Linked DNA regions of Rhinolophus ferrumequinum. The protein of the gene in region 1 purifies or fractionates together with the protein of each later gene. This does not show direct contact. Links are inferred from orthologs where the notes say so. Each region holds a gene or a part of one and is shown in the gene's direction. Other genes may lie near its edges. The genes, in order: HERC5 and ISG15.

Evidence for each region.
Region 2: the proteins of HERC5 (region 1) and ISG15 purify together in Homo sapiens (affinity purification with western blotting; 3 studies listed by BioGRID, with this or other methods). This does not show direct contact. The link is inferred for Rhinolophus ferrumequinum from reciprocal best matches to the Homo sapiens genes HERC5 and ISG15.

What each region holds. Positions count from the first base shown.
Region 1 is NC_046288.1:42,409,499-42,416,801, forward strand, and holds the start of HERC5 (E3 ISG15--protein ligase HERC5), read left to right. Parts: upstream 1-4,272; 5' UTR 4,273-4,410; coding exon 4,411-4,732; intron 4,733-6,624; coding exon 6,625-6,745; intron 6,746-7,303. Other genes in the region: probable E3 ubiquitin-protein ligase HERC6, read left to right, coding at 221-444.
Region 2 is NC_046292.1:228,676-234,400, forward strand, and holds ISG15 (ubiquitin-like protein ISG15), read left to right. Parts: upstream 1-3,952; 5' UTR 3,953-4,088; coding exon 4,089-4,091; intron 4,092-4,547; coding exon 4,548-5,039; 3' UTR 5,040-5,113; downstream 5,114-5,725.

The sequences.
Region 1 (7,303 bases):
GTGGACCTGTACAGTTCAAACCCGAGTTGTATGTAACTAGACCATGAACTCACTGAGGACAAAGACCAAATGTCATTTTTCTATGCTCCACATGGTCCTGTGTAGTTTTCTCTACACAAGGATACTCAATAAATATTTATTGAATGAAGTGATTAATTTCTTCATTTTCATTTTAAGTTTTGCTCTTTCTAGGAAATAACCAAAGGTTATTCCTTTCTAGTTTTTCTTACAGGAACTGATAGACAGCCTGTAAGAGGATTACAAGAAATGGGAATCATATTTCGCTGTCCTGAAACTTTCAGTGAAACAGATTGCCCAAGATCACTCGTATGTCATAATATTCTGGACCTTCCTAAATATTCTACAATGGAAAGAGTGGAAGAAGCACTTCAAGTAGCCATCAACAGTAACAGAGGATTTGTCACAACCAAGGTCACACAGTAATAGTGACCTCTGAGAGTCTCAGTGAGACCTCAGATTCTCAGGTCCTCTCTCACCTGTGATTGTGATGTTCTTCTTCAGGTCTACATAGTACAAAGGGTTGATGGATTTTAATTAGAATTAGTTGATAAATGTTGAGATAAACAATAAAGTGATGAATCAAGATAATATTTTTAATGAATCATATTTCCTGATACCTAAACTTGCTATTAGAATGTTTATTGAATTACTTCCTGAATAATAATTATCATTTAAAAATAGGCTGAATATTAAAAACTAACATATTTTTTAAAATATTATTCATCTAATAAACACTGCCTGCAAATATGAAAGTCTGAAAAAATAAACAAAAATGTAAACTAATTCAACATGATTTTGAGGCATATAGATGTATATTTTATACTGTGGAATATTGCCAGAGTTTTAATTTTAACCAAATGATGAATAATTTTTTTGAAAAATCTGAAAATCTAATTGTTAAGGGATTCATTAATTCATTGAATAATTACTTATGCTCAATCATTCTAAATGCAGACATCATTATTTTGGTTAAAAATACTGAGTCCAACCAGGAACTCTTGTTTAATTATAACTGGGGAAATGTGAAGAACCTGAAATATGTCTCAGCATCATGGCTATAGAGTAAATTAAAGAAGAGATGTAAGTATGGTTGGAAATGACCAATGAATTTTGTGATGAGTTCTATCTAATGTTAAATTTTAAACTAAGCTGTTCTATAAATGCCTATTATTTCAAGCCATACACAGAGCCTTGTGTTGGTGGTACTTTGGGAAAGGGAAGCCTATGGGGTAAAGTCCACGTTGGGGTGCTAATGTGGAAAGAGAGCAGGATCACCTGAAGATAGAACAGAGATAGAGATTTCACCAAGGACAATAGAATATGAGGTGGTCAGTAGAAACATAAGCCCCCCCAGCGAATCCTCAGTTATTTTGGACATGTTCGGTTTCTGCAACAAATGGAATGAAGACCCAGATATATTCTTTTTGAATTTTAAGGGAAAAGGTATTATCTAAACCTTAAGGATCCTCAGGCCCCTGACTTTCGGGTTGTGTTCGTCAGGCCTTTAACATCCAACATTACTTTTCCTAATGCCAATGGGTGAACTGTACTAAACATCTTTGCACTCTTTCAGAAAACAGAGAATAAGGGAACACTTAACAATTGATTCTATGAGGCCAGCATTATCCTAATACCAAAACCAGACAAAGACATTACAGGAAAAGGAAACTACAAATCTCCCTCATGAACATAGACACAAAAATATGTTAAAAAATTTTTGGCTAATACCTTGTGACTAAGTGGGGTTTAGTCCAGAAATGCATTTGAAAATCCATTATATTTCACCATAATAGACAGAAAAAAATCATATAATTACAACAGAGGCAGAAAAAAACCTCACAAAATTAATAGCTATTGATGGATGATAAATACTCCTAGCAAACTAAGACCAGAAGAGCACTTACTCAACCTGTTGGAGCCTACACACAGCTAACTTCATACTTTCTGGTGAAAGACAATGCTCTCCTACTAAAATTGGGAACAAGGAGAGGATGTCTCATAGTTTGTATTCAACATTGTACTAGATGTACTAGTCCATACAATAGGCCAGAGAGAATAAAAGGCATGTTGACTGGAAAATAAGGAGTACAACTATCTTATTTATAGACTGCATGGTCATCTATGTGTAAGATTCTAAGGGATTTACAAAACTACTAGAATTATTAAAAATAGAAAGGTTTCAGGATTCAGGGAAGTATATAAAAATTAATTGTATTTCTGTATATACTCACAACACTCATAAATTGAAATTTTAAGAAGTATCATTTGCAATATCAACAAAAAAAATACCTGAGGATGCATTTTTTTCAGGATAAATTTAAAATATGTTTGACTATACACTGAAAACTAGAAAATATAGCTGGAAGAGATTAAAGAAGCTTTAAATTAATGGAGAAAGATATGCTTGTGGACAGAAGAATCAATATTATTAGCATGTTAATTCTTTCCAAATTGATCTAATTTGGTATAATCTCAAAAATCCCTGCTGTTTTGTAGAAATTGATAAACTAATCATAAAATATATATGAAAATGCAGAGGACCTAGAATAGCCAAAACCACAATGGAGAAGTACAACAATGGAACACTTGAATTATTTTAAGACTTGGAATCCACAGTAATTCCAGGCAGTGTAATATGGGAGTAAAAATAGACATATAGATCAATAGAACACAACAAGTTCAGAAATAAATGCAATCATATATGGATCAACAGTTTTGACAAAGATGCCAAGGCAATTCAATGGGGAAAGGCAATCTCGAACAATTGGAAATCCATAAGAAAAAAAATAAACATCTCCCCTTACCTCACACAATAAACAAGAATTCATTTGAAATGTGACAAAGACCTGAAACTATAAAACTTCTAGAATATTTAAGAAAATCTTTGTAATCTCGGGTTAAGCAAAGATTTCTTAAGTAGGACAAAAAAGGCATGAATTAGGTAAAAGAAAAAAAATATTGCATCAAAATTAAAACGCTAGCTCTTTAAAAGACACGTTTAATAAAATTAAAAGACAAGCCACAGATTGGTACAAATCATCTGAAAACAAATATCTAATAAAAGACTTGATATATAACAAAGAACTCTGATGTATATGGAGCTTTTAGATGATAAGCAATTGAATAAATGGGCAAAAGATATGAATAGACACTTCACCAAAGAGAGATTAGCACTAAGAAGCACATAAAAAAAAACTCAACACCATTAAACATAGGGAAAGGGATATTAAAACTACAATAAGATACCACTATAGACTATTATTAAAAAAGACTGATAATACGAAATATTGGCAAAGACTGATAATACGAAATATTGGCAAAGATAGAGAACAATTGGAACGCCCATAAATTTCTGGAGGGAATGCAAATTGCTGGAGGTACAGCACTTTGGAATTCCAAAGTTTGGTAGTTTCTTACAATAACATTCACGTACTTACCATCTGACAGAGCAGTTTCATTTTTTAGGTATTTATTCCTCCCCCCAAATTAAAACATTGATCCACTAAAAGACCTGTTCACGAATATTCATAGCACCTTCATTCATTGTAGTCAAAAACTGTAAAGGACTGAAATGCCCTTCAATTGAACAGATCAACAAATTGTGGTATATACATATAATGGAATACCACTCAACAATAATGAAGAGGGAACTTCTGACGGAAAACAACAGGATGAATCTCAAAAGCATTATGATAATGAAAAACGGCAGACACAAAAGCCTGCATAAGTTTTATTCCATTTGTGAGAAATTCTAGAAAAGGCAAGAACTATATTGGCAGAAAGCCGATCCCTGGTTGCCAGGCAACGCGGTGTGAGCGGAGGGACTGGGTACATATTTTCACTTTCATCACTTTCATCACAAACTTGAGCTTTCCTTACTGCCTTAGTTTTTGGAAATTCTGCAAGTCCGACTGTGTTAGGGCTCCTCCTAGTGGAACTGCATTGTTTCTTCGAAGGCCATTTGGTCCAGTAGTTCAGATGGCCACTGCCCGCCCAGGGACGCGTTCTCAGCCCCGCCAGTCATCTCATCACCTGCCACCGACCTGGGCTCCTCGGCCGTCTCGCAAACCTTTCAGGAAAGGTTCAAGTTTCCCTTCCAGTTTCCGTTTCGGTACCGCCCCCTTGAAAAAAATTCTGTTTCGTTTCCCACTAGACCTGCCGGCTCCGCCCCCAGCCCGCAGCACGTTGGGAGGCTGGCGTCTGAGCAGGGGCGGAGTAGGGGCGGAGTAGGGGTGCGGGCGGTCCCTCGACGCCACTGAGCAGTTCGCTCGCCGGCTCCGCACCGCGCCGTCTGAGGGCAGTGGAATCTTTTAGGCCTTGGCCCTTTCTCTCCTTCCTCTTGCCTCCCGGCTGGCTGAAGCCCCGTCTCCGAAGAGCGGAGGTGCGGCTATGGAGCCTAGGAAAGCGGCGATGGAGCGGAGGCCACCGAGGAGGTCGCGGGGCGGCGCGCGCTCGACGTTCCGGCCGGCCGCCAAGTCCCCGCCACCACCCACCTCCCGGCCCGCCGCGACCCGGCCCCCCGCAGAGCCTCGGGGCCCGCAGCTCTGGCTCTTCCCCACGGCCCCGGGCCTCCGCAACGCGCTGCTCCGGAAAACTGAGGTGATGCGCCAGATGTGCTGCACGCGCGGGCGCCTGGTGGTGCTGGAGCGCGGCGGGGCTGGCGTCGAGGTGCACCAGCTGCCGGCGGCGAGCGACGGCGGCAGGAAGCCAAGTGAGTGGGCCCGGGCAACGCCAGCTCGGGGCGCGCGCGGGCACTGACACTGCTCTCCAGGGTGGCGGGAGTTGTGGGTACGCGGTCCCTCTGTACATGGGAAGGGAAACTCCGAAGGGAACCCGGCGCCGTAGCGGTCCGCGGTGCCTCAGAAAGGCGCCGGGCCTGGGTGGTTTTTCGCGTTCGCGCGTGCGGCACCCTTGAGGTCTCCATCCTGCTCCTAGAAAGCGCGGAGTTTGCGGGGTAGTAGCGAGAAGTAGTAGATCGTGCTCTCCTCAAGTTACCCGCGCGGAGGGAGTGTATTGCCAGCAACTTCATTTTAGCCAGTCGGCCGTTATCAGGGGTTTCTGTTCAAAGTTTGTTTTTGACTTGCTCCCTGTAAGAACATAGCGTATCCGATTTTGTGTCTTTGGAGAACACAATTATCTTGTTTTCGATGGCAATATGTTACATTTGCAAGCAGTTGAAGGAGCGCTTTCACTTGCACTGCTCCGAGGGAGTAATCTCCGTGGAGATTAGATCACGTACTGTGACTCCGATTTTACAAGTGGGGGAAAGCAAATGGCCACATTCTTACTGTTAAAAACTTTGGCCCTTTGATAAGTGAAGAAAATGGTGTTCTGTTCGTTTTGCTCTTAACTTGAGCGAAGTCGAGCTTCTTTTCTTTTGCTACTGGTCGTCGCATTCCTTTTTGATGAACTGCCTGTTCGTATATTCGCCTGGCTTTTAAAAAAAATTGAGTTGTTAATCTCTTTCTTAACTACTTTGAAAGAGTTATTTGAATTTTGAGTAAGAGGAGCCCTTTGTCAGTCATGTACGTTGTAGTATTTTACCCAACTTGCCTTTAGTTGATGTTATTTTATACTCTACTTCATTAATCTTTTCTTTTGAGGAGGCTTACGGATTTTGTGTTATGTTAGAAAGCTACCCACACAAGTGTTTTTCTTTTTTGCACTCATCTTTATAGAAATTTTAAGCATTTGTTTTTAAAGTTAAAGTTTTTGATACGCTTGGATATTATTTTGATTTAAGGAGTGAGGTAGGGGAATCTGGATTGGTTTGTTTTCACCAAATGGCCACCCAGGTATCCCAATACCTTTTTTGAATAACCCTTCTTTTTTAAACTGATTCGAAATGCCGAGACTCAAAATTGTTGATCTGTTGGGCCATTTCGTCTTTATTACCAAACCGTTTTGGTTCTCCTAGCATTTGTATAGTATGAAGCGGTTTGTGCTTTGAGATTTTACGTGAATCAATTCTATTTCGTTAGAACTAAAAAGTAAAACAAGATCCCAAATCTCCTGTATCCTACATTAATTTTTGTGATAGAATTAAATGAGGTAAGAGTAAATGGTAACTAGTGGACAATTTCAAATCTTAAAAATTCTTCTAACATCATCCCCGTCCCTCAAACACAGTTTAAGAATATAAGCCTTGGGTTTTATATGAAGCAGTCCATGAGGGGTTTATTATTATTTGTTTTGTTTTTGGAAAGAGTACAGCTCAGAATACACATTATATTTGCTCCTACGGTGAGTTATGTTGTCCAAAAATTGTTGTATTTTCTTTCTTCTGACTTTTTCATTTCTGTCTCTTTAAATTTAGTTTCTTTCTCAACTTGTTAAATAGGAATCTAATATCTAATTTTAATTGTTTTAAAAAACAGTATAAATCAGTGCTTTCCCAAATTAAAAGAAAAAATCAGTTGTCAAGACAGTAGTCATTACTAATTTGTCTGCTTTCTGTACTTGATTTTTCTTTAAAGAGAAGTTCTTATTAAGTCAAAGTTGAAGTTTTCCCCCCACGTGTTTTAAGTGTATTGTAATGAAATCATTAATAACAGTGGGTAATAATCAGAGTGATGATAGTTTCTGGTTGGATTTGCTCTGCAGAGTGCATTAAGTTAGGAAAAAAAATGAAGATACATTCCGTGGACCAAGGAGCAGATCACATGCTGATTCTATCCTCAGATGGCAAACCATTTGAGTACAACTATAGCATAGAACATGCAAGGTAGGGAACTTTTTTCTTTCGTTAAAAAATTTTAAAGTTTTACTCAAAAGTCAATCATAGTTTTTGTAGAAAAATGTTACTTTATATAATCTTTGTCCCTCCTTCACATCTTGGCATTTACAGTAAACTGGTCATGGCATTTAAAGTAAACAATGAATTTTGAACTGACTAGTTAATTCCTTGAGTAAACTACAAATCAATTTTTGTCTCCTAGAACACTTACCAAGTATTGCTTTGACATTTAAAGGAAATGATTGGTTAGTCTGCGTAGACCCAAATTGGACTTTCATATTCATTAACTCACTTAACCTCATAATAATCTTATAAATTAGATTTCCAGAAATAAAAGTTTTCAACCTAGGAAAAAAAATGCATTTTCATGGCATGGTCTGTGAGACTTTCTCCTGGTAGATCATGTGAATTAGAGCTTATTTTCATCTTTTATTATTCTTGCATCATAAAATTATTGTTTGCAAAAGAGTCTGAGAATCATCTTATTACAGTTACATAATGCACATTATTTTCCTTTTAAACAATAATTAAAATATATTGTATTTT
Region 2 (5,725 bases), on another chromosome or scaffold:
CCAATATTAACCAAAGGCCCCTTTATAAGTGGCTGTTGTAATTTCACAAATAGGATAGTAAGGTTTATGACTAGAATTTAAATATTTTGTGGCTATGTTATTAGGTGTACACAACCTTCTACTGAGAAGGTGAAAACCTATTGTTATGCGACCTTCTGTGTCTCCAGTAAACTTTGCCTATAAGATTTCTTTATTAATATATTAATAAAATTGTTAAGTGGCCACATCTGCTTCCTTTTGGTTAACATTTGTATAGTATGTTTCTTTCCATCCTCTTTCAAATTTCCTGCATTCTTATATTTCAAATGATTCTTGTCTTCTGTAAGCCACATAAAGTAAGATTATTTTTCACCAGCCTGACAATCCTGGTCATTTAGTCCCCCTGGATTTCGGACCTCTGGCCTGCAGACCTGTGAGGGAATAAATTTCTGTTGTGTTAAGCCACCAGTTTGTGGTAATTTGTTATGACAGCCCCAGAAAACTGACAGGTGAGCCCTAGGTTCTGTCAGTTTGCCTCCTTAATGCCTTTGTATTTAGTTCCTCCTGTCAAAAGCAGAAGGACAATTGGTGACATGGGATGAAGTAACTAACAGAAAGGGAAGATTCTAGTACTAAATGTCAGTATTAAGAAGTCAGGAAAAAAAAAAAAAAAGAAGTCAGGAGAGGGCTGGCCCGGTGGCTCACATGGTTGGAGCTCCGTGCTCCTAACAGCAAGGTCGCCGGTGGGCTGCCGTGTGCTGCCAGGAGCGGCCGGTGGCCACTGTGAGTGGCCAGCGTGAGTGGCTGGCTGGCAGCTGGCGAGAGCTGTTGTGAGCTGCTGTGAGCGGCGGATTGATGACTGACAACCGACTGCCTGAGCTGGGGGGAGCGCAAGGCTCATAATACCAGCAGGGGCCAAGGAGATGTGTCCTACACAACTAGACTGAGAAACAGCAGCTTGAATCCGAGTGCGCGGGGGAAGGCAGAAAAAGGGGGGGGGAAGAAGTCAGGAGACATAGAAACCATGTTTAATAATGGTCATCTGAGGGGGGTTGGAGGGATTTTAACATTCTGCATGTTCTTTTTTATTGTTTCAAAAAATGCTGGTGGTTTTCTTTTTATAATACCAACATTATTTATGCAAGGAATGAGTCAAGATATAAACTTAAAATAATAAAAAGAAGTTAAAAATCAGTTTGGTTTTTTCTTGTGTGTTAACAATTTTGGTGCCCTGTGAGTTTTTTTTGGGGGGGACATGGAATGGTCAAGATTCATATTCAGCGTTTTTTTTTTCCCAACTTGCAAGATGGCGGGTGAAAAAGCTGAGAAGCCGGACACTAAGGAGAAGAAACCTGAAGCCAAGCAGGCTGATGCTGGTGGCAGGGTTAAGAAGGCTAACCTCAAGGCCAAAACGCCTAAGGAGGGGAAGCCCCACTGCAGCCGAAACCCTGTCCTGGTCAGAGGAATCGGCAGCTATTCCCGCTCAGCTATGTATTCCCGAAAGTCCATGGACAAGAGGAAGTATTCATCAGCTAAAATGAGGATTGAAAAGAAAAAGGGGAAGGTTCTTGCTACTGTCACAAAACCAGTTGTTGGCGACAAGAATGGTGACACCTGAGTGGTTAAACTTCGCAAAATGCCTAGATACTGTCCTACTGAAGACATGCCTCGAAAGCCGCTGAGCCATGGCAAGAAGCCCTTCAGTCAGTAGGTGAGAAAACCTGGGGCTAGCATTGCTCCTGGGACCATTCTGGTCATCCTCACTGGGCACCATAGAGGCAAGAGGGTGGTTTTCCTGAAGCACCTGAGCAGTGGCTACGTGTGACTGGACCTCTGTCCCTCGATCGAGTTCCTCTGCGTAGAACACACCAGAAATCTGTCATTGCCACCTCCACCAAAATTGATATCAGTGGTGTGAAAATCCCCAAACATCTCACTGATGCTTACTTCAAGAAGAAGCTGCATAAGCCCAGACACCAGGATCTCCAACACAGAGTAAGAGAAATATGAGATTACAGAGCAGCGCAAAATTGATCAGAAAGCCGTGGACTCGCAAACTCGGCCAAAAGTCAAAGCTGTTCCTCAGCTCCAGGGCTACTTCCATTCTGTGTTTGCTCTCACAAATGGGGTTTATCCTCACAAACTGTTGTCTACATTAATTACGAAGAACCTAATTAAATGCCTGAACTGTTAAAAAAAAAGATTCATATTCAAAACATTTTGTTTTTTTCCACTTTTACTTTTTTATATTAGACTTTCTTTATTTATATCTAACTTATGCCTGTTATGTGCTATTTGTAATAGTAAAAATTGGGTAACAACCTAAATATTCAACAATGTGGGATGGTTAACTAAATTACATTCTACACAGTACTGTAATGGACTCATTATACTAAGGGGAACCATTAAATGGTTGCATTTTATGGAACCATTAAAACAACTAGCACAAAGTATCTATTAATATGGAAAGATGTTTATGATACACTGTTATGAATAAAGCAGGAGTATAAGGGTTTTTCAGTTTTGTTTTTTATTGAGGTGAAATTCATGTAACATACAGGTAACCATCTTAAATTACATAATTGAGTGGCATTTAGTATATTTACGATGCTGGGCAGCCATCACCCCTATCTAGTTCCAAAACATTTTTGACAGCCACAAAGGAGGCCTTATATTCATAAAACAGTCACTTTCCACCCCAACCCTCCCCTTGGCAACCACAATTTTTGGTCTCTGTGGATTCGCCTGTTCTGGACATTTCACATAAATAGAATCATACAGCATGTGGCCTTTTGTGTCTGGCTCCTTTCACTGAGCATAATGTTTTCCAGGTCCAAACATGTCGTAGGGGGTGTCAGGGCTTGGTTCCTTTTTATGGCTGCATAGTATTCCATTGTAAGGTTAGGCTGCATTTTGTTGATGCATCCATCTGTGGATGGATTTGGCTGTTTGTACAGCTTTTAACATTTGTGTATTGTGACCAGTGCTGCTATGAACATCTGTGCACAAATACTTGTTTGAACACCTGCTTTCAATTATTTGGGGTGTATATCTTGGAGTGGAATTGCTGGATCCTATGAAATTCTGTTTTATCTTTTTGAGGGACGACTAGACTGTTTTCCACAGCCATCATACCATTTTACACTCCCACCAGCAGCATGTGAGGACTCCAATTTCTCTACATTCTCATCAACACTTGTTATTGTTGTTCTTTTTTTTTTTTACTACAGTCTTGCTAGTGGGTGTGAGGTGGTGTCTCATTCCGGTTTTGATTTTCATTTTCCTAATGACTAATGATGTTGAGCATCTCTTCATGTTTGTTGGCCATTTGTATATTTCCTATGGAGGTATGTGTATTCAATTCCTTTGCCCAATTTTTGAGTTATATTTTTGTTGTTGAGTTGTAAGAATTCTTTATATACTATGAGTTACTAGACCCTTATCTGATATATGATTTGCAAATATTTTTTCCGATTTTTGGGATAGTCTTTTCACTTTCTCCATAATGTCCATGAGTTTTTTTGTAGAAAAGATACATCCCTTTCATTAAAAAAAAAAAAAAAAAAAAAACAGAAAAAACACCCAAGCTGAACAAATATTGTCCAAAACCAGTGGTAATTATCTCGGGGTAGTTTCGAGTGTCACTATTTTATGTTATTTCCCGAATACCCATGATCGTGCTTTCTAAGTTTACTAATTTTGCAAGTTGGTAAATGGAGAGTGAAACGCTCTAATCATTACTTCACGTTTCTATGACTTTTGTGAATCACATAAAGGACTTGGATATGTAGGGAGTTTCTGAACATACACGCCTGCGGGGGGGAACGGGGGCGGTTTCTATTTAGTATCCCTGGGCTCACCTCCTCCGCGTCTCTTACAGTTTTTCAGATTTGTTTCTGCTGTGGGGCTAGCCTTGGGAAACGGAAACTGAAACCGAAGAGGACTTCAAGGGCCAGTGAGACTGGCTCTCAGACACGGCGCCCCGCCCTCTGACGTGTGTAGCTCATGTTCAGAAAAAGGCTGGGCGGTTAGGGCCGGGAGGAGTTGCGAGCGGAGAGGCAGCAAGCTCATCACTACCTGTGGAGGACCTGGTGCCAGAGCCCACAGCCATGGTGAGGCGGGTTGACAGGTGGGGCAGGTGGGCTGGGCACTCGTCGACTTGTCTCCCCCTCCCCTTGGCAGGACCTGGGGGAGGGACAGAGCACCTACTGTGTGCCAGACCAGTGGAGCTGCAGAGCTCCGCAGTTTCCCAAGTGTGGTGCAGGGACAGGGCTCCCGACGTCAGGGTCTTGGTCTTGGAAGGTGGGTTCTGCCCAGTGGCCAACTCTGAGGTCCCTTGGGGGGCATCTTAGCTGAAGGGAGGCAAAGTGGTGGTCGTGGGCGGCTGGCCGTTCTTCCAGAGAGGACCCCCTTGTGCGTCTCCAGCGCCTGGGGTCCCTCTCTTGGTGGAGAGGACCCAGAAGAGGGAACAGCGTCCTGGAGCCTAGGGGCTTGCCCTGCGGCCAGTACATAGCGTGTAGAGGCCCGAGGACTGGTGCCAGGGTCTCTGAGCTCCGTGTGTTGCACAGATAGGGGAACTGAAGGTGAAGATGCTGAGTGGCAAGGATTTATTGGTGCCCCTGAGGGACTCCATGCTTACAGCGGACCTGAAGCAGCGGATCGCCCAGGAAACTGGCGTGCCTGCCTTCCAGCAACGCCTGATCTCCCAGTCGTCCGGTGCGGAGCTGCAGGACAGGGCTACCCTCATCGGGCAGGGTCTGAGCCCCGGCAGCACGGTCCTGCTGGTGGTGCTGAGCGACGACCCCCTGAGCATTCTGGTGAAGAACGAGAGGGGTCGCAGCAGAGCCTACGAGGTCCAGCGGACGCAGACGGTGGCTGAGCTCAAGCAGCAGGTGCACCAGCAGGAGGGCACGCCTGCCGACCAGTTCTGGCTGAGTTTCCAGGGGAAGCCCATGGAGGACCAGCACCAGCTGGGGGAGTATGACCTCAGGCCCCATTGCACCGTGTTGATGAACCTGCGCCTGCGCGGGGGCGGGACGGGGCCAGAAGGGCCACGCTGAGGTCCCCACCGAAGTTCCCACCCAGTGCTTTAATAAAAATTGATGCCAAGTTAATTGGCTGCCTCTGCGTCTGCCCTCGCCCTACTCCCAGCACTCTGGCATCTGCCAGTTCTCCATTCTGCACCCCTGCTACTGAGCTTGGGGGAGGGGAGGTGGAGGGAGTAGGGCAAGGGGACCCAGGGTCCTTGGGTGGTTACCAGGCTGGGCTACCAAGTAAGAAGCAGCCTGATGGGATCAAAATAGTGAATGCCCACCCTGGAGAAATTGAACATGTGTCCCCACACCTTTGGAAAACTAACTGCTAGAGAAAGAGAAAGAAGCACATATGGAAACCATCCCTGCCCCAGGTGGAGCCGTGGTCAGCCCCTGCACAAATGGTCCCCCTCCAACATCTGGGTCAGCAGACAGCACAGGGGAGGGAAGGTCTGGTCAGGTCCCAAAGGCCACAGGTGAGGTCCCGACGGGGACCAGCACCCCTGGAAGTGGTGAGGAAGTGAGTCCCTAAGACCTGCCTGGGGGTTGTGGGTGCAGTCTCCTGGCCCTCCAGGGCCCCAGCAGCCTGCCCTGTCCAGCCTGCATTGGTCTGGGGAGGGGTGAGGACAGGGCCTTGAACACACATCACCATCGGGGTGAGCTGGGGAACGCAGACTGTTCGGAACAAACACACCAGCCTTCAGGGTTTCATT